2 linked regions of the Canis lupus familiaris genome follow. The protein of the gene in region 2 purifies or fractionates together with the protein of the main gene of each other region. This does not show direct contact. Links are inferred from orthologs where the notes say so. Each region holds a gene or a part of one and is shown on either strand. Other genes may lie near its edges. The genes, in order: TNKS1BP1 and CNOT7.

Region 1 (12,305 bases), on a different chromosome or scaffold from region 2:
GGGGCAGGCCGACTGGACGCCAGATCTCGGGCTGAGAAGCATGGGCCCGGGGGCAGGCTGCAGCCCCAGACAGCTTGGGGCCGGCCAGGTGGACTGGGGCAGCAGTCTGGGCCTGAGGAATTTGGAGGTGCCATGTGACCCAGAGTCTGGAGGTTCTCAGGACCCACGGGGATGTGGAGTGGGCCAGATGGACTGGACCCAAGACTTGGGACTCCGGGATGTGGAGCTCTCAGGGGCCCCGAGTGAAGTCAGGGAGCGTGGGGTGGGAGAGGTCAGCCAGTGCCCAGACCTAGGGCTCAGGGACAGCAGCGCCTTGTCCCCGGGCCTGGAGGCCAGAGAGCAGGGGCCTGGCGAGACAAGCGGGCCAGAGACCCAGGGTGAAGACCCCCCTGCACCTTCCCCAGAGACCTGCCCTGAGGACCCCAGGATGGAGGCTGGAGAATCCCCTGGCTTTGGAAACAGGTAAGGGAGCCCCATCCTCGTGTGGGAGGGAAGGGCTGGCAGCTTTCTAAAACATTGAGCCTTTTTCAGGAAGGAAGAAACTGCTTTCCCCGGGGAAAGGGGAGAGGAGGGTTTGGAAAATTGAGAAGGTTTGGACTGTGAATCACTGATTTTACTTTTTTAAAAAATTACTAATTTATTTTAAAGATTTTATTTATTCATGAAAGATACAGAGAGAGGCAGAGGCATAGACAGAGGGAGCCGCATGGGGGACTCGATCCCAGGACCCTGGGATCATGACCTGAGCCAAAGGCAGACACTCACCCAGTGAGCCACCCAGGCATCCCTACATTTTTTTAAATTGAAATGTGACACACATGCAGGTGATTTTTTTTTTTTTTTTGGTGACGATTGCGGTGTTTGAGGGACTGTTCGTCTGTTGCCCGTGCTTTCGGCTTCTGGGTGACGTATCGCGACTGTCCTGGAAGAATGGGTGTGGGGCCCATCTCTGAGTTCCGTTGTTGTGCACAGCACCTGTTCCCAGGTCTTGGCCCAAGGGTCTTCCCGGGCTAGGGAACGTGGATGCTTTCACGGCATTGGCAGGAGGACTGGACCCTGTGTCCAGTTGGCCTGGGCCGCTGCAGGTTAGGAGTGGAGCGGACAGAGGCGCTCATTCCTTGCAGAGACGGGGAACCTAGTGCTTCCTGCCTGCCCTGTCGTGAGGCCTGGAAGAGCAAACAGTTTAAGATCCTGAAGGTCATGGAGACCTGGCTTCTGACCCCGTGATCTTGGCCTCCGTGCACATGGTGACGGAGAGGGAACTTTCCAGAGGAATAGACCAGTAGTTTTACGAGCCAACCACAGCTTGTCCCAGGGATTTTTATGTTCTGAAAGTAGCTGACGTGATTTCACACCTGCAAGGGGTACTAAAAAGACATTGCGTCTGTTTTGTTAACATGTTCTGTTCATTGAGATGGGGTTTTCTTCTCTTGACTGCATAGAAGGTTATTTTTCTTTCTTTCCTTTTTTTTTTTTTTTTTTTTTAAAGATTTTATTTATTTATTCATGAGAGAGAGAGAGGCAGAAGGAGAGGCAGGCTCCCCACAGGGAGCCCGATGTGGGACTCTGGGGTTCCGACCTGAGACCTGAGCCAAAGGCAGATGCTCAACCACTGAGCCCCCCAGGCGCCCCCAAAGGTTACCTTTCTGAAGAAGCTGGAGCTTCTCAACGGCCAGTCCCAGTCGGGGAAGAAGGGAAGGGAGGGAGGTGTTGGATGGGGGCCGTGTTGTGAGTGGAAGGGGCTGCTGGTAGTGGCAGGGGGGTTGGGGGGAGGGGAAACCTGGAATGGTCTAGAGGGAACGGTGGGGGTGGGTGGGGGTGTTGACTGATGGGATGGGGAGGCACCAGGATTCAGGAGAAGGAGGGAAAGAGAGAGGAAGGTGGGGAAGCACTGGGGTAGGGGCTGCAGGGCAGGGGTGGTTTCACAGGATGGGGAGTTGGGGGCTCCTGGGATCTTGGATGCTGTCTCTGAGCCTCACCTTCTCACGTCCCCCCCAGGAGGCTTTACGGTTCCTAGTGCCCCGGGGTTGCTCTTGGTTTCTGTCACCCACACGGCCATTCTGCCGGGCCCAGCGCTCTGCTACCCATCTTACCTCAACCTTCACAGCTGCCCCCTTCTGTGGAAAGGGATCTGTACCATGTCCAGTTTGCACGTAGACGAGGGGTGTGACCTGCTTACAGTCGCACAGTCAGCAGTGCTGCTCTCTGGCTTCGGTGTCCGCATCATAAATGCTGTCAGGTGTGGTCACAGTGCTCGGGAGTCTCAGGCTGCCCATGAGCTGGGCCCATGGCCCTCCACCCTTCCCCTCTGCCTGGGTGGCTCTTGAGAAGGGGAAAGAGGGGAGTATCTTTCCCTTGGTTCAGGAGAGGGGTGGGGGCTACTGGGGGGCCGCAGGGCCTGGATTGGGAAGAGGAAAGTAGGAGCGGAGAAGCAGGTGTCCTCAGCGCCCAGCCGGCTGAGCTTCGGGCTCTAACCTGCCTTTAAGCCGCTCTGGTGTTCTGTCTGTGTTGTCCATTTGGGAGACGTGGAGTGTTTGTGCACGAGCACGTGCTAGCCCGTGAAAGCACAGGCATGAGGAAACCTGTTCACTGCTCTGTAGCACAGGGTTTCGCAGACTTGACTCCTATCCAGGAAGTTCTGGGCATCTGACTTAGGGAAATCCTATACCCTGGAAAATTGCTCTTTGAAGGAAGTTTTGGAGGTTCCCCTGGGACGTCCTTGAGGCCAGTTCAGAGTAGTCTGGGTTTGGGTCCATCTGCCAGGTTTGAGTCCTGATTCAGCCACCACCTCTGTGACCTTGGGCAAGTTCCCTTCTCTCTGTCTCTCAGAGCCTCCTATTTCTTATGTGTACACTGGGAGTAATTTACACCCCACACTCACAGGATTGAGTCTCAGACACACATCAAGTGATAGAAAACTGCTTGGCATGTGGTAATCACTGAAAAAAATTCTTGCTAGTCATAATTGTATCCGTTTTGCAAATTTGGTTGGATCTGAGCTGTCTTGAGTGAGGCCCTTGGGGATGTTTTTGTCATTCACTCTGTGTGGGACAAAGGTACCCTTGATGGATTGCTGTCCAGCACAGTTTGACAGGACCAGAATGGGATGGCTGGGTCATAGGGGCAGCTCCTAGGTCACAGGGACAGGCCCCTCCTCTGTGTCTAGGGCCACCTTTTCCTGGTGGGAGTAGCTCTCTCGGGTCCCCCGAGAGCTCATGCACTGCCCCCTCTTCTCTGTGACCTCCTGGTCATCTCCTGCCCTTCCCCTGGGCCCCAGTGATATGGGGACCTCAGTCATTTTGGGCTGTTCATAGAATCTCCTCAGAGATCATTGAGGGCAGCTCCCTCATTTCAGTGGGTGGGGAAACTGAGGCCCAGGGAGGCAGTGTGACTTGCACAAGGTCCACGGCTGGTCATTACGGGCTCCCTCATGTTCCCTCAGGCCCCAGCCTTGTCATCCTCTCTCTGGGTGTGTTTCCTGTCTCTGGGGTCCAGGCCATCTGCTGCCCCTTTAGGCACATCATTCCAGCTGCAGGCCTGAGCCTCCTTTATTTTGGGTCTTGGAGCCTTGAATATGGGGAAGCTGGCTTTGTGCACATTGACTACATGCCCTTCCCTAGGCTCTGCCCCACAGTGGCGGTGGGGGGGTGGGGTGCAGTTGGACAGAGTCTCTTGAGGGTCAGGAGATGAGAGTCCTGACCCTCAGGAGACTCTAAGTCCAGATGACTCAGGGATGAGGGGTATAGCTGGTATAAGATGTGACAGGTCCTCAGGCCAGGAACCTGTGTTGAGGATGCTGATTATCCTGAAAGAATTAAAATTTAAAAAAATTATTTATTTAGAGACAGGGAGGGAGCAGGCATGAGCGGGGGGAGGGCAGAGGGTGCAGGGAGAGAGAGAATCCTCAAGCGGACTCCCTGCTGAGCTGGAACCTGAGGAGCCATCATGACCTGAGCCAAAATCAAGGGTTGGTCAGTCAACTGGCTGAGCCACCCAGGTGCCCCGATTATCCTAAAAATGTATCAAAACTTAGCACACAGTGGTGTGTGCTGGGCACACATTTCCTATGTGTTGCCAACAGACCCAGCAAAGTATAGGTCTTTTATTATCCCCGATTTGCAGATGAAGAAACTGAGGCTCAGAGTGGGTAAGTAGGCAGGTGGTGTACGGGCGGAGCCTGTAGCTGTGCCCACGGCAGCCCTCGGCACAGGCCTTGACCATTCTTCTCCTGCTTCCCTGCCAGGGCGGGGTCAGGTTGCAGGTGTTCTGGTGCACAGAGGCAGGAAGGCTTCTCTGGAGCTGGAGTTTAGACAGGCCGGCAAGGAGGATGCACACCATGTTCCCCAGTGCACTTCCCACCCTCCCTTCCTCGTGGCCCCCCCAAAGCCCACTCGTTCTTCCTCTGCCCTCTGCCCACGCGGCTGGGGTCCACGTGTTGGATGTGGATGTGGATCTTTCCATCCACCCATTGCTGTTCCACATCCCCTTGACTCTGCTGGCCTGCCCTCAGCCTGGTCTCTGCCCCACCCCAGGGAGAGGCGTTAGGCGGGGCCTCCTCAGGCTGGGTGGGGTGCCGCCACCGCCCCCTCCCTCCTGGCCTCCGTGATTTTAAGCTGCAGGGTGAGCTGGCTCTGGCCCCCATCCAGGGCTGCGCCATTCCCGGCCTTGCTGCACTTCTGCTGCCACCTCCGCCACCCCCCCACCCCCTGACCGTTTTTATTTCCATCTGTCAGCAGCTTGTGGAAGGACAGACTGACACACGTTCTCTCCTGCCCTCCCCGCTTCCGGCCTGGTCCTGACTCACCTGCCCTATACTCCTCCCCTTCCAGTCCCTTTGGGAACTCTCTGAGGCCTGGCTTCCGGGCACTGCCCCTGCCTGCCTTTCCCACGCCTGCCTGCCCGGCTGCTGCCTGTGTGTGTGTGTGTGTGTGTGTGTGTGTGTGTGTGTGTGTGTTGGGGTGTGGCTCTGCTGTGCTTCTGGGGGTGGGTCCTACATGTGCCTCGAGGGAAGTGTGTTGTGAGTGTGCGTAGGGTGTGTCCATATTTCAGGGGGTGGCAGCTGGCCCACACACCAGCTCCTTGTGTGAGGTATGTGAGTAAGCGTGTGTGCTGAGCCGGGTGTGTCTGTCGTGTTTTGAGGGAGCGGCGGGCCGAAGATGCACAGGCCGTATTGAGGTGCAAGGTGATCTAGCCTGTCAGTGGATGGCGAACATTTGCTAAATCCTCCTCCTGGCTGGGCCGAGCCCAGGTACCAGGGTCACAAAGGCCAAAGGGGCCGCCTTTGCCCTTGAGTGGTTCCCAGATGGGCTCTGAGGCAGGGGCTGGTGCAGGTGGGGGCCCCAGGCTCGCAGGGCTCAGGAAGGGGGGCTGTGGCTGGGGGTGGAGAGGGGCCAGCCTCAGAAGAGGAATGGACCCGTGACCGGGAGAGGAGCGCAGGGCAGTGGGGGAGCCTTCCAGGCCAGGGAACAGCTTGTGCACATACACCGCAGTCTGCAAAGACGGTGATGTGTTTGGGGGAGTCCCTGGACGTTCTGTGAGGCTGGGGTGCAGGGAGGGATGCTGCAGGGGCCAGTGCCTGGCTCGTCCCAGGGAGAGTGACCACCCAAGCAGCTGCCCCTATGAGGAGCACATGGACAGCAGTAATGATTGTGGTCAGTGCTGGGGACACGCTGGGTGCCAGGCACTGTGCTTTGTGCTGTGGTTCCCATTTCAGTCCCCAGCAACTCTTGGGAGTTAGAGGGTCCTGAGGCCTTGATGGGTGGAGGGACCTGTCCACAGCCTCAGTAAGTGGCGGACCTGGGATTTGAACCAGGCTGCCCACCTTGCCCGCTCTGTGCTGTACTGTTTGAGGCCCCGACCGTGTCCTTTCGGAAGGAAGGTGTCTGGGAAAGCATGGAGAGGCAGGAGAGGGAGAGCCTGTTGGAGGGGGGCACAATACTGGGAAGTGGGCTTTGGGGGAGGAAGATGGGGCCTCATGGGTGACCTTGTCCTCTGGTCTGTCTCCTTTGCAGTCCTGCCGGCTGCCCGGCCCGCTCCCCGCCCTCTGGCTCCCAGAGCCTGCTGGAGGACATGCTGGCCACCAGCAACTCCAGGGCGGCAGCCCGCAAGGGGTCAGCAGCCTCGGGCCCCAGGGGCCTGTTGGAGGAGGACGGAGCCACAGTGGGTGCCGACACAGGGGAGCCCCTCGAGCCTAGCGGGGCCCCTCTGCTTTCCTGGAGGCCGCAGCCTGATGGTGAGGCCAGCCAGACGGAAGAGGTGGACGGCACCTGGAGCCCTTCAGGGGTCGGGCAGGGCGCCCAGGGCCCCACACGGCCCCCTCGGCGGCCCCCTCAGGGCCCTCCGCCCCGCTCTCCCAGTCAGGACTTCTCCTTCATTGAGGTCAGTGCAGGGTGAGCCCAGGGCAGTGGTTGGGCTGTCGGGGGGCACATGGGCGATGTGGCCCGAGGCTGGTCCCTAGGGCTTCCCTGAGTGGCGTCAGCCCCCGGGGAGGGGGGGCAGGAGGCGGGCAGTGGGTGACCCTCTGAACGGGGCGCTGTAGGCTGCTGGAGGGATGCGCTGTTGAGGGTTCCCGTGGGACCGCAATGGCAGTGGTGTTGCTGTTGTCCCGACCAGGACACCGAGATCCTCGACAGCGCCATGTACCGGAGCCGAGCCAACCTGGGGCGCAAGCGTGGGCACCGGGCCCCGGCCATTCGGCCCGGGGGCACCCTGGGCCTCTCGGAGGCAGCCGACTCGGACGCACGCCTGTTCCAGGACTCTACGGGTAGGCCCCTGTCTGGTGGGGTGACGTCTGGGTCTGCGTGGGGGCGGTGCTCCGGGCTCGCCGTCGCGCTGAACCCCCGCTCTGGGCCCTTGCAGAGCCACGGGCTTCTCGGGTGCCATCCTCAGACGAGGAGGTGGTGGAGGAGCCTCAGAACCGCCGGACACGGATGTCCCTGGGCACCAAGGGGCTGAAAGTCAACCTGTTTCCTGGCCTGAGCCCGTCAGCCCTGAAGGTAGTGTCTTAATCGGCCAGCGCATCCAGCCCCTCCGGCCCCTAGCCCCCGAGTGCCTGCCTGGGGTTTCTTCTGTCCGTCCATCCATCCGTCCTTCCCTCCCTCCCATTCTCCTGTCTTCTGCTCCCCCTGAGGGCCCTGTTGGGTCCCGAGTGGGATGGGAGGAAGAACAAGGCATTCCTTCCCGTCCCAGAGTCCCAGAACCTCACAAGGCGAGGAGGACACACGCCCTGTCTCCTGTTAGCTCTGGTGAAGGGCCGAGCTGCAGGTGTGGGGTTGGGGATGTACAGATAAGGGCTGGGCCTCTTCTGGGGGTGGGGGCGGAGGGTCGGGGTGAGGTGTGACTTCTTCTGACCCACCGACCTGCCTGCTGGATGGGAGGGTGTATGGGGAAGGGCTCGTGGAAGTGCCGGATCTTAGCTTGAGGCGTGTGTAGAGCTGGCTGTGGAGGGCAGGGTGATGGGGAGGAGTTCGAGGTTCCCGAGGCAGAGGGAACCCGATGAACGGAGGCACAGGGCTCGGGAGGCACTGCCGGCTTCGCTTCATCCAGCCCAATTGTCTGGATTCAGTGGAGCAGAACCTTCACGAGGACCTTCCGTGCAGGGTGTGGCTCAGGCGACTTCCCGTCCCTCTGGGTTGAAGGACTGCAAAGGGGTCTGTGCCTAATTCTGGGGACGGCTCCTAAGAGAAGGCCTTGCCCTCTGAATCACCCTGCTCCTTCCTCTGACATCTGTCTGCACTTGGGCTCATCTCACAGGCCAAGCTGCGCCCCCGGAACCGCTCAGCTGAGGAGGGGGAGTCTGCGGAGAACAAGCCAAGCCAGAAGGAGTCCGCGGTGCAGCGTTCCAAGTCTTGCAAGGTCCCCGGGCTGGGGAAGCCCCTTGCGTTACCTCCCAAGCCAGAGAAATCCTCAGGGTAGGTGACCTCAACTGGCCTCGCTGGGTGGGCCAGAATTAACCGTGTTTATGTCCTAAGGTTTGCCTAATGACCTTTGCCCTGTGCCATCTAGGTCAGAAGGATCATCACCCAACTGGCTACAAGCCCTGAAGCTGAAGAAGAAGAAGGTCTGAGAAGTCCTCGAGGTAAGTGTGGGTTCCTGGGCTTGGCAAGACCTGCACGGGAGGGTTCAGGAGGCCCCCTGCCTTCTTCTAGGCCTTTCTGTCCCTCTTCTCTGTGAGCCTGGCAGCAGCCCAGGGGAGCCTAGCTCTAGGACCTGGTGGGTCCCTTGGTTCCCCTTAGATTTTGCCCACAGAATCCAGTGTTGTCCGGCCTGGGATGATGGGGAGGAGGGCTGCATCCTGGCTTCCTCTCTGGGCTCAAGGATGGTCCCCACGGGCCCCCAACCCCGTGCCCCAACCCTTCCTCCCTGGGCTCAAGGATGGTCCCCACGGGCCCCCAACCCCGTGGCTGGCCCAAGTGGGGTCAGCCTGCCCTTCTGGTATTTATTAGGCTCAAGGGCCCCAGGTGGGACCCTCCTCACCACGAGGCTCAGCTGGGGGAGCCAGGATGGGCAAGGGACAGGAAGCCAGAGCTGAAGTGGCTCCTCTGCCCGCCATGGTGTACCCCCTGACCCCTTCTTCCCCCTCCTCCCCTTGCAGGTCCTTCCATCTGGCAGTCTCAGGCAATGCCCATTCCTGTGGGGTCCCCGGCGAGGAGACGGCTGGAGCCCCACCAGGCCCCAGGCTGCAGCCTCTGTCCCCTCCACGTCTGAGGAGCGTCTGGGGAGGCACATTTATGCACTTTGTATCCCCCTGCCCTTCCTGACTCTCCCTCACTCCCTCCTGACCAGATTCAGGCATTAGTGGTTGAAGGTTTGGTCCCTCCTCCCTCGCTCTCGACACCCCCCTCTCTGCTTCCTCCTCCAGCCTCCCCCGGGTTTTCTTTTGATATCAATTTATAGCATTTTTTATAAAAGCCTTTGATTTTTGTAACGGGCGGAGCCCTGCCCCCGCCCAGGCCTCCCTCCGTCCTGCCAGGTGCCCCACAGAGACCAATAACATTTTGCCACTTGAAACAATAAAGTTTTTTGGGAATTGGTGCTGCCCAGGCTGTGGTGTGTGGTTGTGGCACCCCGACCCCCATGCCAGACCAGAGTTGGAAAGTGCTGGGCCTGGCCCCTGCCCACGGGAGCTCACCGTGCCACTGCCTGCTCCCTTTCCCGGTGCTCGGGGGCTCAGTGTCCCTGAGGAGGGGGTGTACTGCTGATGGGAAGCTGACTGCTGAGTCACACAACCCCCACATCTCAGGAGCTTGACACACAGGGTTATTTGCTGCTCACGGCAGTCTGGGGGGTGGGTTGGTGGTAGGGACGCTCTGCACCTCATAGTCACTTGGGAGCCAGTTCTTCCCTGCGGTGGCTTGGCTCTCTGCAGGGGCTCCGGAGTCCCCCAAGACACCCAGGGGAGAGTGGACGGAAGGTCTTTGGGGAGACCTTTCCCCAGGACCACAGGATGGGAGATTTCCATTGGCCAGAACTGAACTCAGGGCCCTTGCTAGCAGAGGGGGGGCATGGGTGGGTGGGTGGGGAGTGCCTGTGGTGGGAAATGTGGTTTAGTTGTGTGGCCACGGAAGACTGGGTGCAGGTGAAGAGTCAGCCTTCCTGCCGGTGTCTGACTTCTGTTGCTCCCTAAGGGCCCCTTTAGCCCATACATTCTGGAAGGTGCACGGGGCCCTGACCTCCTACTTGGCCTTCTTCTGTGTCATCCTGTGTTCCCCAGACTCACCAACCGCTTTCTATGAGGCTGGTTGAAGGGAGAGGCCCCTGCGGGCCTCGCCTTGATGGGGACTGAACTGAGCCGCTGAGGTCAGATACACCTGAGTTTGGAAATCATTGCATTCGCCAGAGCATCTTAGCTTTTTATTTTATTTTAGGGGAATCTAGAGGCTGTTGACCTAATTTGAGAATTTGACCAAAGCTGTGGATGCTCTAGAAAAATGCACGTATACATACCATACCCACAGCAGCCTGGAATTCCCAATGCGGACCTCCTAGAGCAGTGGTTCTTCACCTTCACCATGAGCACAGCCCCTGCGGTGCTATTTAAAAATGCACATTCCTGGGCCCCCACTAGGCTTCCAATCCAGTAGCTCTGCCCAGGAATCTGCATTTCGAGAAGCTCCCCTGAAGTAGAGGGGAAAGACAGGTGAAGGGGCCTCGGGCTGGTGCCTGGGTCTGTGCCAGGCAGCCCCCATGCCAACCCTCCCAGGGCCCAGCAGAGCCGAGCCGGCGTGAGCTTTGTCCTCTTCTCTCCCATTCTCTTTTCCTTGTAGGAGTAGGACTGGCAGGAGCCCAAGCCAAACACTTAAGACTCATTAGTGGGACAAATGGAGTCTGGGCTGTCCCAGTGCCCGGGCTCTGCTGGGAGGGAGAAGAGATGGGCCGGCTCCCAGGGAAGCAGAGCCAGATCTGGTGTGGGTGGGGGGTGTCCTCTGCTCACCCTCTGCCTGGAGAGTGGCTCAGGGCCTTTGCTGGGAGCCCAGGAGAGAGGGCAACCCACTCAGGCTTTGACCACAAAGGCAGGTGTGTGACAAATGCCACAACTGAGATGGTAACGTTCTTGTGCTGCCATTTCTCAGACCGAGCCTGGGGTTCTTGAGAGTCGCCTCAGACAGCTGGGTGGTGGTGGTCTTTTGCCTGGTTTTGGATTTTGGAGACCACTGAAAGTCACTTGGAGGCTTGCGTTGTGGGGATACTCTGGGCAATCCAGGAAGCTGATCGATTTTAGTCAAAGGTGGCTCTGAAGGCATTTTCTGAAGAGGTGAATGAGCTCTGGAAGAGTCGAGCGTACAGCCTCTCAGGCTAAAGGCAACAGCTCAATGTGTGTATGCAGGAATCCCCCCCTTTCCAGTCCTTTCCCTGCGTGTTAGGCAGCGGAGCTGTCCCTTCCCGAGAACCTTGTCCTGATTTCATCAAAGTTAGAAATGTCTCAACACTGCCTCTCCCCTCTCCCTTGCTTCTGAGGCCCTCACCAAGAGCCCGGCCGCATACAGATCGGATTCCTGATGACGGGGGAAGCCTTTGGGAACTGGACAGGAGTGGAGCCCAGGGGGTTGTCTCGCGTGGCCTCCCCTCCAGGAGCTGGAGTTGGTGTTCGGGGTCGGGCTGAGCCTGAGAACCAGCTGGCCTTCGCCGATGGTGCCCTTGGGATCTGACTGGTGATGCTGGGTGTTGGGCAGAGTCTTCTGAAGGGTTGCTGCCCACTTAGCTCTTCCTCCTTCCAGTGTCCTGTCCCCAAATGTGGTCCAGCCACGGGCCGTGGTCATTGCTGTCCCGAGGGGGTTTGAGACAGAACCCTGGATGTCCCCTTGGATGGAGCAGTAATTCCTCGTCCGACGGCCCAGAGAGACTGAAGCTGGTGGACGGGATGTCCTTAGGGCCGATTTGCCTCTAGAGTTTCACTGAGCCAGAAGCGGAGGCTCACCTGGGACAAGCCCTTTGGCCTCTGCTGCCGCTGCCCTGGCTCCCTTTTCCTCCCCGCAAGTGCTGATTGATCCAGGCAGGAAAAGCGCTGGCCGGTTTCAGAGGCACACCCCCTGCCCTGGGGGAGAGCCAGGCCCTCGGGGCTAGAGCCTCCTGAGCCCAGTGATAAAGTGGGTTTTAATCCCTGCCCGAGAAACAGCTCCAATTATACTTTTATTTACATAGGCTTTGTCTCCAAAGGGCCAAACACCCATTCATTCATTTTTTTTTAAGAAACAAAGTTTATTGAATTTTCTTCTGATGGCAAAAGCAGAACATTCATGGTTGACTACCTAGAAAACACGGAGAAGTAAGATTCAGAAAATTAGCCTGTGACATCGCCACCCAGATATACCTAGACTGCTAACATTTATCAAAAGAATACTTTTTATTTTAGGATAGATTTGGATTTATGGACACGCTGCAAAAATAGTACAGAGAATTCCACTAAACCCACGCCCAGTTTGCCCTAATTGTAATAGTTGATGTGCGTGCGGATGGTATGTTTGTTCCAACCGATGAAGAAATAGCGATGGGATTGTTAATTTATTAAAGTTCACAATTTACTCACATTTCTTAGTTTTTGCCTAGCATCGCTTTTTCTGTTCCAGGATCCCACCCAGGACACCCCATTACATTTAGTTGTCACGTCTCGTTACACTTCCTTAGACTGGGACAGTTTCTGCTTGATTTTGGTGACCTGGATGGTATAGAGGAGTCCTGGTCTGGTGTTTTGTAGCATGTCCTTCAATTTGAGAATGTCTGATGTTTCCTGATTAGAGAGGGAATATAGGTTTTCGGGAGGTAGAAGTAAAGTGCCATTCTCATTCTCTTGAAGGTACAGGCTCTCA
Region 2 (12,305 bases):
TCTAAAGCCAGATTAAAACATTTAGACCATGGATTCTCAGCATGTAATACTTTCAGGAGGTGAACTCAATTTCTACAGCAATAAGGCTATCCTACTACAACTGCAAGTTCACTTGACTCACAGCTAAGAAGTCTCTTCAAATTATATACAATCCTGCTGCTTTTAGGTGCTACAAACACAAAGTAATCTTTCTTAAAAATTTCCCCAGTTATATACCATATTTTGTTGTAAGGCAAGCAAACTTCGGCCAAAAAACTACTTCGCTTCTGATTTTAAGTTCATTTGTCAAAAGCAGTTTCCTTATTCAACTCCTACAATATTCTTTCTGCTTAAAAGTAAAGCTCTTAGAGTTTTTACCATCTCCTAAAAGTAGAACTTTATTTGTACTTCTAAAAACCTGATAAAAAAACATGATCAACCTTGACGAAGGTTCTATGAAGCAACCACTTTACCTAAATGTGCTTTTTAGTTGTAGCTTCTATACAAACACATCTGAAAAAAAAATAAAGCCCTTCTATTCCTTGGGAGTCTGCCACCATGGGTGGATTAGTTTTCAAACTGAAGGAGCACTCTACTTATTAAAGAAACGTTCCTTTTGAAAGAATTTTCAGAAATAATAAACTATTACATATGCATTTAGCAGTATCAGAATGTAAGCTACTGTCCCAGACAGGACTACACATTACCATAGCACTAACTGCTTGACATCTTTTAGAACAGGAAAAAAAAACAAAACACAAAAAAAACCTTTCCATGTATAATCCTAGGAACGTGATCCTATGACTAGAACGAACAAAATTTTTATCCAAGCTGAAGAGGAAACTGTTTGCTACCTGACTACCATCTGTACATTGCTGGCCACCTCAGATTTTATCTTGCATGGATAGACAGTGCATATGTTGGGCAGTGTAAACTTGCACTTCTGTGCATGAGAGCCTCACTAGTCCTCACATTTTTGTTCAGGTTTATGATTTTCAATCCAGCAGTCATGAGAAACCTGATTCTTGGTTTGAATTTTGCTGAGATTAAAAAAAAAAAAAAAAAAAAATGAATTTTGCTGAGAATTTATATTGCCAATGTATGCTGAAGTTCTGAAAAAGACTTCCTACAAATTATTTATGCAACAAAATAACCAGATAACGTAACTACATTTAATATAAAATTTAAAATATGGCTTAAAACAACATCCCAGGCTAGGATCTTACTTATCACTCAGTCTAAATAGTGTGGATTACCAACTGCCACTTGAAGCCTTACTTTGAGATTTTTGCAGCTCTTCATGAGGTACTTCACATCATAAATGACAGGAAAAAATAATCGAAGGATCTCAAAGAAGTCAAGTTCTTCTTCAGGCAAGTTAGAGTTGGTCAGGATTTTGATTAAATAGCCAAAGTCATAACCACTACAAAAGAATTAAATATAGAATAGAGACACATAAATACCAGAGGTGAAAAAATATTTTTTTTCTGATACAAATTATAAGTAAGTCATAACTGTAGGTCAAAAAAGGAATCAACCAAAAAAAGAAAAAAAAAAAAGCACATGAGAGAAAAGACACGTTTATGATAATGGGAAAATGCCATCACCTTACCAAGAGTGATAAGAACTTGTCACTATCATTCAGATATCAATATACTAGCATCCCAAACCTGCAGTCACAGATTACTATTTTGCTGAACTCTGAAGGAAGAACTCTTTAAGAGGAATATCAAACCACTCTATAGATATCTCAAAAAATTTTAAATAACTATGGAAATGGAAAAATAAATATGAATGGAAACTTGGCTGAAAATGTCAAAAGGTAGCAGAATTGGCAAAAATAATACAATTCTTCCCATACTTTACATAAAGAGGTCATGTGCTTAAAAATCTAGAGTGGGGCACCTGGGTGGCTCAATCAGTTAAGGGTGTTAACTCTTGATCGCTGCTTAAGTCTCCCATCTCAGGGTTGTGAGTTCAAGCCCCACATTAAAATACTTAAAAATTAAAAACAAAAACAAAAAGAACCCAAAGAGTAATTCCCTAATGGAAGTATTTTCTTTTCCTTACATGATCTTATCAGTCATTCTCTTCCCTCAAAATTCTGTTCCTATCTCCTATGGCTCCTCAAGATATACCAATGAAAATGCTGCACATGGAAGAAATAAGAGTAGTAAACAATGAGAACTAAAATCCAGAGAATAAAATACCAACTCCCACACTTTCAGATCAAGATCTCCTCTCTCTAGTGTTTTTTTCCCCATAGCTTTATATGTCCCTCCATTCCTGTGCCATAATTAACTTTTTTTCTCTGTCTACCTTTATTTACTTCAAGGGCCTCTTACAAGGCACCTTCCTCAAAGAGCCTAACTCCCAGTAATTTCTTATACAAGGTGTTTTCTCCTACTATGCTTTAAAATGCAGGTATTGTTTTCTACACTAGTCTAAGTAGGAATCACACTTTAAAAAATATCTCAAAATCTTTTATTACACATAGCTGGAACTCAGTACATATTTGATGAGAGACGATATTAATCGGTCTTTTGAGGGGATACAAATAAAATTTCTATTTAATATTCAGAATTACTTCTAATATTAAAAAGAAAAAAGAAGCTTTACTACTGAAGACTGGTAAAGCACACTACGGTATACGCGATAAATGGCAGAACCTTTAAATTTCTGGTAATTGGCAAGGAAGTAATTACTATCTAACTATATATAAATTAATACTTTTGCTTACTACTAGTAAAAGACTATGAGAATTTCCGGTTTATGAATTTCTTAAACTAGTCTTTATCTCCTAGAAATAGGTTAGAATATGAAGAAAATATTTAAAATGGCATTTAGAATAAAACATACCTTGACAAATAGTGGAGTCTAATTTTTAGACTCTACATTCTAAAAAGACATGAGCCCTTTGTTCCTCTTAATATCTCCAATGCCTAACACACAGTATTTGCTCAGAGTATTTTTTTTGAATGAAGTAAGTCCTATACAACAAAAGGACAAGGATGATGCTCTCTAATTATGACCAGGAAGTAAAACAAAACAAAACAAAACAAAAAACTGAAAAAACATTCCTCAAATTAACAGAGACTTCAGTCTTGTCTCCTGAAGTAAAGCTCAAATGCAGAACAAAGAGAAAAGATGACAGGTGAGAATTACTATGTTCGGTACCAACTTAAAAATTACTGCTTAGTATTACACCAGAGTTTGCAATATGAACAGTCCTTCACTATAATCATTCCAGAGGCTAGAGCTGAAAATGCAGGAGACTCCTTTTTTTTTTTTAAATGTGTGGAATGGACCCAATGTAAGAACATTAAGAGAAGGCCAAATAAATTAATTACCGTAAGAGAAGGCCAAATAAATTAATTACCGAGGCCACTTTTAGTCCCTGGGCTTCCAGTTTAATTTAGTTTACCTAAATAGGAAAACTCTGTCTTATTTGGAAGTCTCTTCTTAAAAAATGGAACTAATTCCCCTTCTGGAAATTCTCTTCAACAATCCAGTCTTATTTTATAATAAGAATTAAAAATGACTATTTGTTGAGAATTAACTGTGTGTAAAGTCTTTTACTAAAATGCTCTAAATATATCATTGGTCATTAAAACAAGATATTTACCTAAGTAATGCCAGCTGATCACTCTATTTAAAAAAAAAAAATAATAAAATCCACAACCTCTACCCTCCCCTAACACTCTCTTTCTGGTTTTTTACTGCATTGCACTTACTAACCAATAAACCACAATATAAATGTCATCATTTAAAAAAAAAAATTGCCTACTCTGACCAGAATATAAACTTCATGAAGATGAGGATTTTTGTCTGTTTGGCTCACAGCTTAATTCCTAGAATCTTATACTGCAGTACTTGGCATTGGTAGATATTAAATAAATATTTTCTTAATGAATGAATGGTTTAATTCTAAGGCTCAGAAATGTTAAATGACTCTTGGTAACATTGATTCCAAATGGCATTGCTGGATTTAAACCAAGATCTACTTTATCAGCTTAACTTTTTCCACTATGTAATACAGTCTCTCTCATAGGCTAAAAATGAATCTCATACCTTTAAATTAACCCTTAAGCAGACCAACATTAGCTTCTTAAGAGAGGAGACTGTTTTGCGGCAGCCAGTTCCCTCTCGAACAGTGACCCACACCAAGTATAAAGCAGCTAGGAAACAGAAACACAAATGCTATTTTCAATGCAATTTTTTTTTCTTTTTTACCTATGAAAGGATAACCATTTGACCCCTTCGCAAAGGACCACTCCTGATGTCATAAGAAGTTCTGCAAAGTACTGGGTCTCAATTCCTTCCTCCTCATGTTTTTTAAACTGGATGCCAGATGTTGTTAGTAGCTCTATAGAGTCCTGAGCATACATGTCCTCCCTGGCAGGAGAAAAAGAAAGACAACCTTCAAAAGCGCCATACTTCAAACTGTTTTTCTCCCACTTACATCTACAACTACAGTGCCAGAAACAACGAAACAGAGGATTGGCTTGGGTCCAATTATTCCAGTGCTTCACATATATGAAGGAAAATACAATTTAAATATAAAGGTTATTATTTTTGAAAACTGTTCAGTAATTCATCTTTTAAAAACAGTCCAAGGGTAAGATTTTAAGCTTTACTATCGATTCAATTTCATTTGCCTTTCACAAGTTAGATATATTTAACTGAGTTTGAAAAAAGGGTCTTCTACTCACCAGGGGCTACCACCACAAAATAAAAGACATGTTTTTTCCAGGGGCTTTCAGTCTCAGCAGTCTTTTTATAGCTGCCAGATGGAGCTGTAGCCACTGGGGTGACAGCCTATATACATCTCCCATCTCCCAGCAGCTCCAGGAAGAAGCTGGAGAAAACATCTGATGTGGCTAAGTGAAACTACATTCCATCCTAAAGAAAAAGGGAGATTCCTCCTCTCACTAATGATGAGCCTTTCAAATGGCTCCAATAACCAGTAACATGCTTAAAATGAAAGCCTTTGCTATAACAGCAATAATTTCTTCTAACAATCTTAATCCTAGAAAATCACCTTCCAAAAGTCAAACCAGGAAATCTAAATATAAACCAGTCCTTCAAGATTTTACTTAAGGCAAAAAAGCAAGCCCTAATTTCTAAGCACACACAGGAATCCAAAATGTTAAATTAAAAAAGGATCAAAACAAAGGTATAGGTTTCTGAGAATACATGAGAAGTATTTTGTGCACTGCCCATTGTATTTTCATTTACTTTTTAAATTGCAAGAATATTAATTTCCACCACTTGGCAATAGAAAACTCTATTAAAAGCCACAATATAACTAAACCAAAAGAAACATTTTAAGTAAAAAAGTATTCTTAAGGTCTATTCTCTGGACATCAGTCTGCTTCTAGATGTCTTTGAAAAATAACAAAACGTAATGCTCTATGACACCAGATGGTAAATACATTTATTGTGGTGAACACTACACAATGTATGGAACCTTATGCACCTGAAACTAATATAACATTGTATATAAACTGTACCTTAATGTAAAAATTAAAAAAAAAAACAAAACAACTAGCCTCTGAAACATTTGAGAAAATAGAGGGGAACTACAATCATCACTTTAGACCAAAACTCCCCACAGAAAAACCCTTTAGGAAAGATATCTGAATAAATCTAAGTTTTTTTCATTAAACAACAGATATTATTAGCCTTATTACACTAAAAATATGTATCTTAAACAGCAAGTTTCACTCACCAGGCTCTGATACCCACACTGGGAGGCATACTTTAGCAAATTATAACCAACCCAAAGCATAACAGATTCTTTCTCTAGGCTCACATTATTCTGGGCCATATGCTCACTTAATCTTTATTACAGTACACTCTCAATCAGAATGTAAGCTTTAAGAGGGCAATGATTTTTGTCTATTTTGTTTAATGTCTATCACCATGCCAAAAAACATGTGAGGTAGAACAGTAACAGGAATCATCCAGAGAGCTTATCAAAAATATGGAATCCCAGGTCCTATGCCTAGACCTACTGAATCACAATATCCAGAAGAAAGACCTGGATAAGTACTTCAGGCATTCGATGATCAACAAGTTTGGTTAAAAAAAGGGGAGGATAAATTACTTCTTTCTCTTTTTTCTGCATAGTTTACATAACTCAATGCAGCGTAAGCTAATATACTGTCATTTAAATTTCTTTGGAGGAAATATTTTAAAATTTGGAACCAATTCCATGCGTTATAATGCCCAACTCATTAGAAGAGAAAGCCGAAAGCTCTATACAGGTAGGCTAATAAATCTCTAAATAGGATGAAGAAAATTTCCTGCTGGTAAGGAAAACTCCAAAATTGTTACAATTCAATTCCGAATCAAGACTGTCCATTTCCCAATCCATTTCAAGTTTTCAAATCATTCCCCACCCTCAAAAATCTTAGTAAATGGAAAAAAAAATCTCAGTAAATGCAGGAATATATTAGAGGATGCAAATCTCAAAAAAGTAGTGAAAACACTGTTGTGTCCAAAATGTAAGGATTGCTGCAGGTGTAGGGATTGACTTACTGATTAGAACAATCTGTTCAGAACAGCAGTGACTGCTCTTAATACTAATCAACTACTGAAGTTTAAGGTGGCAAAATATTCAGGTATAATAACCCAACAGGAGTGAAAGCCATGTACAAATCTCTAAAAAAGGTTTTCCCAAAAAGCAGATATATACAAGGCTGCTCATTTCAAATAATATCCTAAAAACAGAAACCAACCTAACTTTACTACCATACTTTAATAGTATGTTAAATTACCAACCAAACTTTAATAGTATGTTAAATTCAAGAAATATGTTTTCACTTTTTTTTCAAGTAGGCTCCACATCCAACGTGGGGCTTAAACTCACAACCCCAAGATCGAGTCGCATGCTCTATCAACTGAGCCAACCAGGCGTCCCAACTTTTCGACCTACCTATAAGTATAAGCTCAGCCTACTATACAAATTCACATTTTTAAACACAAGTTAAACATTTTATAGTTTGTACATTTTACATTTACATTTTAAAACACACACGCTATATATTTGTTTTTGCTAAAAATCATGAGAAAAGGCAAACCAGAATACAGACTGTCACAAATGTATGAATGGTCAACTAGCTTAATATTTAATGAACTCAAACCAAGAATACATAAGGTGCTCAAAAAATCTGCAAAGGCTATATGAAAGACAACACAAATAGCCTGCAACTCCATACCTGACACTTAGGTGCCCTTTAGCCTTCAAATGCCTGTCCGTGACCCAAAAAACAAAATCAAAACCACCCACTGTTTGATTCTGTCCTTTCTACTTATGATTCTCCATTTCTTTCCTCTGCCATTTTGCTTAAATGATTATCAGCTTCCTTTCAGTTACCACTGAACCCACAATGTCCTATAACCTTTATTACACTATCAAAATGATTCCCTCAAACACTAAGAATTATTACAATCATCAAACTGATGTTTTAGAAATTTGTTCTCATCTCCTTTGATAGTTTTAATTTGCACAGCTCCTCAATAGTCTACTCCAATTTTCATTTTACATTATCAATTCCAAATTCAGTTTGGAGAGAACTCCTATACATTCATCGTTATCTAACAATTCTAATTTTTGGACTTTGGCAATAGAAAGCAGACAGAAAAGTTACAGGAACATTAAGTTATAAACCATGACCAACTTTTCTCAACATTTATCCCTGGTGCCTAACACAGTTGCTGACACATTCCGGGCACTCAAGAAAAAAGTCAATTTTCATCTTTCTTCAAAATACCTAGATTCTATTCATCGTACTGTCTCTACATTAGGTAGTCCCAGTTTTATCTTCCAATTAATCATTTCTACTTAAATAGTGCATTCTACTATATCCTTCTCCTTAAACAACTTCTTGGACATTAACATTAGTATAAATAGTAGCAAAGCTTGGTAACAAGTAGCCCTCTCTGTATAAGAAAAAATGTCTTTCAAAGATTATAATAATAAGGCAGTTGTTACTATAACAAAGATGTTTCTAGCAAAGGAAAATGTCAATTTTACCAGAATGGAGACATGGATGGGTCCCCTTTTACTCATGTATTTATATCACAACAGTATCTTAGTTTAAAAACATTGTTCTAATGATCAACTTGGGAAAAAAATAACATGGAACAAATGAAATGGTGAAGAACTAATTTTAAAAATGGTTCTCTTTTGAGAAAAGGATAAAAGACATTTTTCAGTATTTCAGTACTGTAGTACTTATAGAAGGTTATTACCAGTTTACATAGAGAGTACAGAATCTTTACAAGATTCTAGTATACATTATGAAATCCAACAAAGTAAAACAGAGAATGAGGCTAAATACAATGTAATTATAAGCCACAGTACTATAACACTATTCTCTAAAACCATCTGCCCTGGCTTTTTAGATCTTATATGCTAAATATCACATTATTGAGGTTCTTACATTGGCACTACTGCTAACTGTGCCACAGCTTCTTTTACTATTTTTTTAAACCAGATATAAGATATTACACAAGTACAAGCTGTCAAATAAAAGGACACTGCAATATTGTAACTTAGAATATATTAAGTATTTCCCCACCTTAGAGTCAGTTTGTAAACAATCTGCCCTCACTTAAAAACACTCTAAACTTCCCTAAACTATCAACCATGAGCTTAACTTAGAATTCAGATTCTGAACTGTATCTGAAAGAAATAAAGTTCAAGGATACCATTACCTCTCCTATATATGTAAGTTACAAGAGGTTTTGTGGGCTGATTGGAAACGTAACTATTATGTAACATTGACTTGAAAGGAAAATCCACCCAAGTTTCCAAGAAATGCCTTACTGCCTCTGACATGTAATCTACTCATAAACTGGAGTCAGATATATTAATCTCTTCACAAGGATAATTACTACAACAAAGATATATATATTTCAAACTGCAAACAAAGTTTGAAAGTAAAACTAACGTAAGGTTATTTTTTCTATCAAGAAGTGATTTCAATACCCAAAGTTTTTCAGGTTTCAAAAAAAGTGGCAGTCATACTTTTCAAACAACATCTTCAAAATTCAAAGTATTTGAATATAAAGTCTTCTTTATCCTAGTTCTTTCATCCCGTAAGAAGAAATCTAAACTTCTGAAATTAGGTTTTAAGTATCTCTAGGATAACTGTGCCAAATTCAGTTAGCATTTTTCACCGTGAGGGAAATCAATTCTTAAAATTAAGCTAAAAAAGTTTGGGTTATATTTATTTCCCACTTACGTCAAATTAAATTTAAAATTAAACTGCCAAGTTGAAGTTCCTGGAGGATATTCTCCTTGCTCATTCATAAATGTCAGTCCTAGCTGAATTATCTTTAACAAGTCTACATTACATCGCAATAGTTGGTACTGATAGTCAGCATTGCTCCTGAATTCTCCAATAGGTCTTGCAACCACACCTGGAAACTCGGTGTCCTGTAAAATAGTTTTAAGATTCATTATTTACTAAATGATTAAAACCACAATTCACAAATTCTTAGAATAAATATGTAATTTTCAGTTCAAGTCAAATAATCCTATTATAGATAATGCTCTACACATTCATGTTCAAATACAAATTACCTTTTAACTATGAAGAACTTCACTTTTTAGAAGCATAAAACTGTAATAAACTTAATGACTTTCTTATCTTAAACTTAATGACTTTAAGTATCAGTAATAAATGATAAGTGCACCAAATATTCTCTTCCCAAGGGAGGGGAAAATATAAATTCATGTTCCTCAAGGGGTATGTGAAACTATGCTCACAGTATGCTAGTGTTAAAACCAAGGAACTGGTTAAAAAGAATGGAAAATGCATCATGCTTTGCAATCATTTCTCTGAGACAAAGTCTGTCTAAACATCAAAACCCTCTTCATTTCTTGGGGTAAAATAGTTCTCTCTCTATAATCTATACATCATCAAAAATTGCATGATACCCACTTATTCCTGTAAAACAGTATCACATCTCTAATGTCACTCCTTATCATCTAAGAAATGATCACTATAAATTTTTGTAGGAAAAAATACTTCAATTCTAATTACGGGTTAAGTATACCTTTACTAAATAGGGTATCTAGGTACACTCAAATATTCACATATTCACCATTCAACCTGCCTCTCCCCACAGAAGCACATTTATGTATTTGCATTAAAAATATTGAGGAAATGATACTATGATATATCACTTTAATTTTAAAACAAACTGGGAAGCTAAGAACAAAATCTGAATATCAAGTCACTATGAAACGGTAAAGAAATTAAAACTCTAAATTCAGTCCAACTCAACAACCAACCACATCACTGGATGTTTGTGTTATGGTAGGTGTGCTGTGGGAGAGAAAAGGTAGACTAGGACACTAACCCCTTGCCTTGCAGAGCTTACATCTAGAAAACAGTACGGTAATTACCACAAATGTACAAGGTACAGTAGGTAAAGCAGCAAAATAATTAACTGAATAGACGGTAGAGGTAGATTGAATACTATATGCAAAAGCAGAGATGCTTAACAGCAGTGTGTTCATCAACTCCAATGATTAAAACAACACAAAAATTGCAGACCAACAAAGTTTTACTGGGAGATCTGAGTTTCTGAAAAGACATGCAGAAGCTCCCTAGCTTTTGGGCGCTCATCTGGTATTATCAGTTACACCTTAAGTGTTGCTGGGAGCTGACCTGGCACTCACAGCTAAGTTCTAACATTCATCTGTTGTTGAGTATAAACAGTTTCATACTTCATCACCAGACAAGACCACTCTGTCATCATGACTGAACATAGACAAAAACATAAACATTATTCTAACCACAAAAATGATCAAACATCCTTCTAGCTTGGCTGATGTAAGTGAATGCTGCTTCTTTATAGCTTTATTCTCACTCTATTCTTCTCTCATTCTAGTTAAGACTTATTAAGATACCCTGTCACAGAATTACCCCAGCTTCCCAACAGCATCCAATTCTGCACAAGGCCCTGCTTCCTTAATCCCTCCCTAAAACCACCTGACAGAAGCCCAAATCCTAAAAGTCTTTTCTAACACTCTTACTGAAATATCCCATGATTACAGTGGCATGCATTTTCCCTCACTGTAATGAGTAATAAACCCAATTTGTCACATTGCAGGAGCGTTCTTGATGGTCTCTGGTTGGAGGACATTGATAAAATTTTTTTATAATTAGATTAATCCCTAAAATATTAACTAGATGGGTTGAATTCAGGGCTTTTAAAATCCCTCTTCCTCTTTTATAAGAAGCATCTTAAGGATGTGAGCATAGGCATACCATAGCAACGTAATTATATTTTCTGATAACTTGGCGAATTTTCTTCATCTCTTCATCCAGGTTGCAAGCCCAAACTTCACAAATTCTTTGGCTATGATCTACAGTTGCTGCTGGCATAGTGAGGGCACAGAAGTCTAGATGCCAAGCATCAAAATGTTATACTTGATTGAAGATTTGTTTGTTTCATAAAATACTTTATCCTTTATTTTTGTACCTGTCAAAATAAAAACCAAATTTATAATAATAAATAATAAAACCAGTAATATCAGAAATCTGAATCACAGGATAATTGGGTTGATACAAACCTAAAAAATTATTTATTCAAAGTCACTAATTTGTAAGATAATCAGTTTGGGAAATGACTTGTCTAAAAGTCACACAGTTAATCAGTAGGAAAAAATGACCTACAACATAGGTTTTCTGGTTCTAATATCAATATTAAGTAACAGTCTTTTTTTATGTGTACATACTAATCACTTTGAAAAACTTTCCATTAATTAAAGATTGCTCTGAATGAAACTCTTTCTCTGAACAAAACTTTATAAAGACATCCATTTCCACATAGAAAATGAAAAAAATAGTGATATAAACAGGATCGGATGTTACTAGGACAAAAGGAGTGTTTGCTTTTACTCATTAACAGAACACTCAAAATCTAACTTGATGACAAAATCTACTTTAGTGGCATTTATTCAAGTCTGATTAGAAGGGACCTTTTTTAGTAAACCACTACCACCAACAGAAGGGGAGGGGGGGCAAAAAAAAAAAGCTCTTTCTGAAAAATAAGTAACAGCCACAGAAATTGTTTCATTGTCCAAAACTGGAGGAAGAGAGAAAACAATAGGGTGTATGCATTTCAAACTGTTTTCTCATTTCCTAAAAGCTTGAGCATCTCCCCCCCCCCCCTCCCCAAGTTACCAAATACACATCTCTCGTTTCTGGTCCATAAGCAGAGTATTATGCTACCTAATGATAAGAGTACAGCCCCATCTTGGACAGAAAAATTCCAAAGGCTCCTTCATTTTTCACAGAAGT

Evidence for each region.
Region 1: the proteins of CNOT7 (region 2) and TNKS1BP1 purify together in Homo sapiens (affinity purification with mass spectrometry; 4 studies listed by BioGRID and IntAct, counting the BioPlex papers as one, with this or other methods). This does not show direct contact. The link is inferred for Canis lupus familiaris from reciprocal best matches to the Homo sapiens genes CNOT7 and TNKS1BP1.

Annotation. Positions count from the first base shown.
Region 1 is NC_049239.1:39,296,825-39,309,129, forward strand, and holds the end of TNKS1BP1 (182 kDa tankyrase-1-binding protein), read left to right. Parts: coding exon 1-462; intron 463-783; exon of another isoform or gene 784-1,367; intron 1,368-2,093; exon of another isoform or gene 2,094-2,511; intron 2,512-6,011; coding exon 6,012-6,378; intron 6,379-6,612; coding exon 6,613-6,763; intron 6,764-6,858; coding exon 6,859-6,995; intron 6,996-7,752; coding exon 7,753-7,910; intron 7,911-8,004; coding exon 8,005-8,065; 3' UTR 8,066-8,077; intron 8,078-8,593; 3' UTR 8,594-9,037; downstream 9,038-12,305.
Region 2 is NC_049237.1:41,442,305-41,454,609, forward strand, and holds part of CNOT7 (CCR4-NOT transcription complex subunit 7), read right to left. Parts: intron 11,485-12,305; 5' UTR 11,388-11,484; coding exon 11,271-11,387; intron 9,428-11,270; coding exon 9,234-9,427; intron 4,375-9,233; coding exon 4,213-4,374; intron 1,403-4,212; coding exon 1,258-1,402; intron 1-1,257. UniProt on the Homo sapiens protein: Has 3'-5' poly(A) exoribonuclease activity for synthetic poly(A) RNA substrate. Its function seems to be partially redundant with that of CNOT8.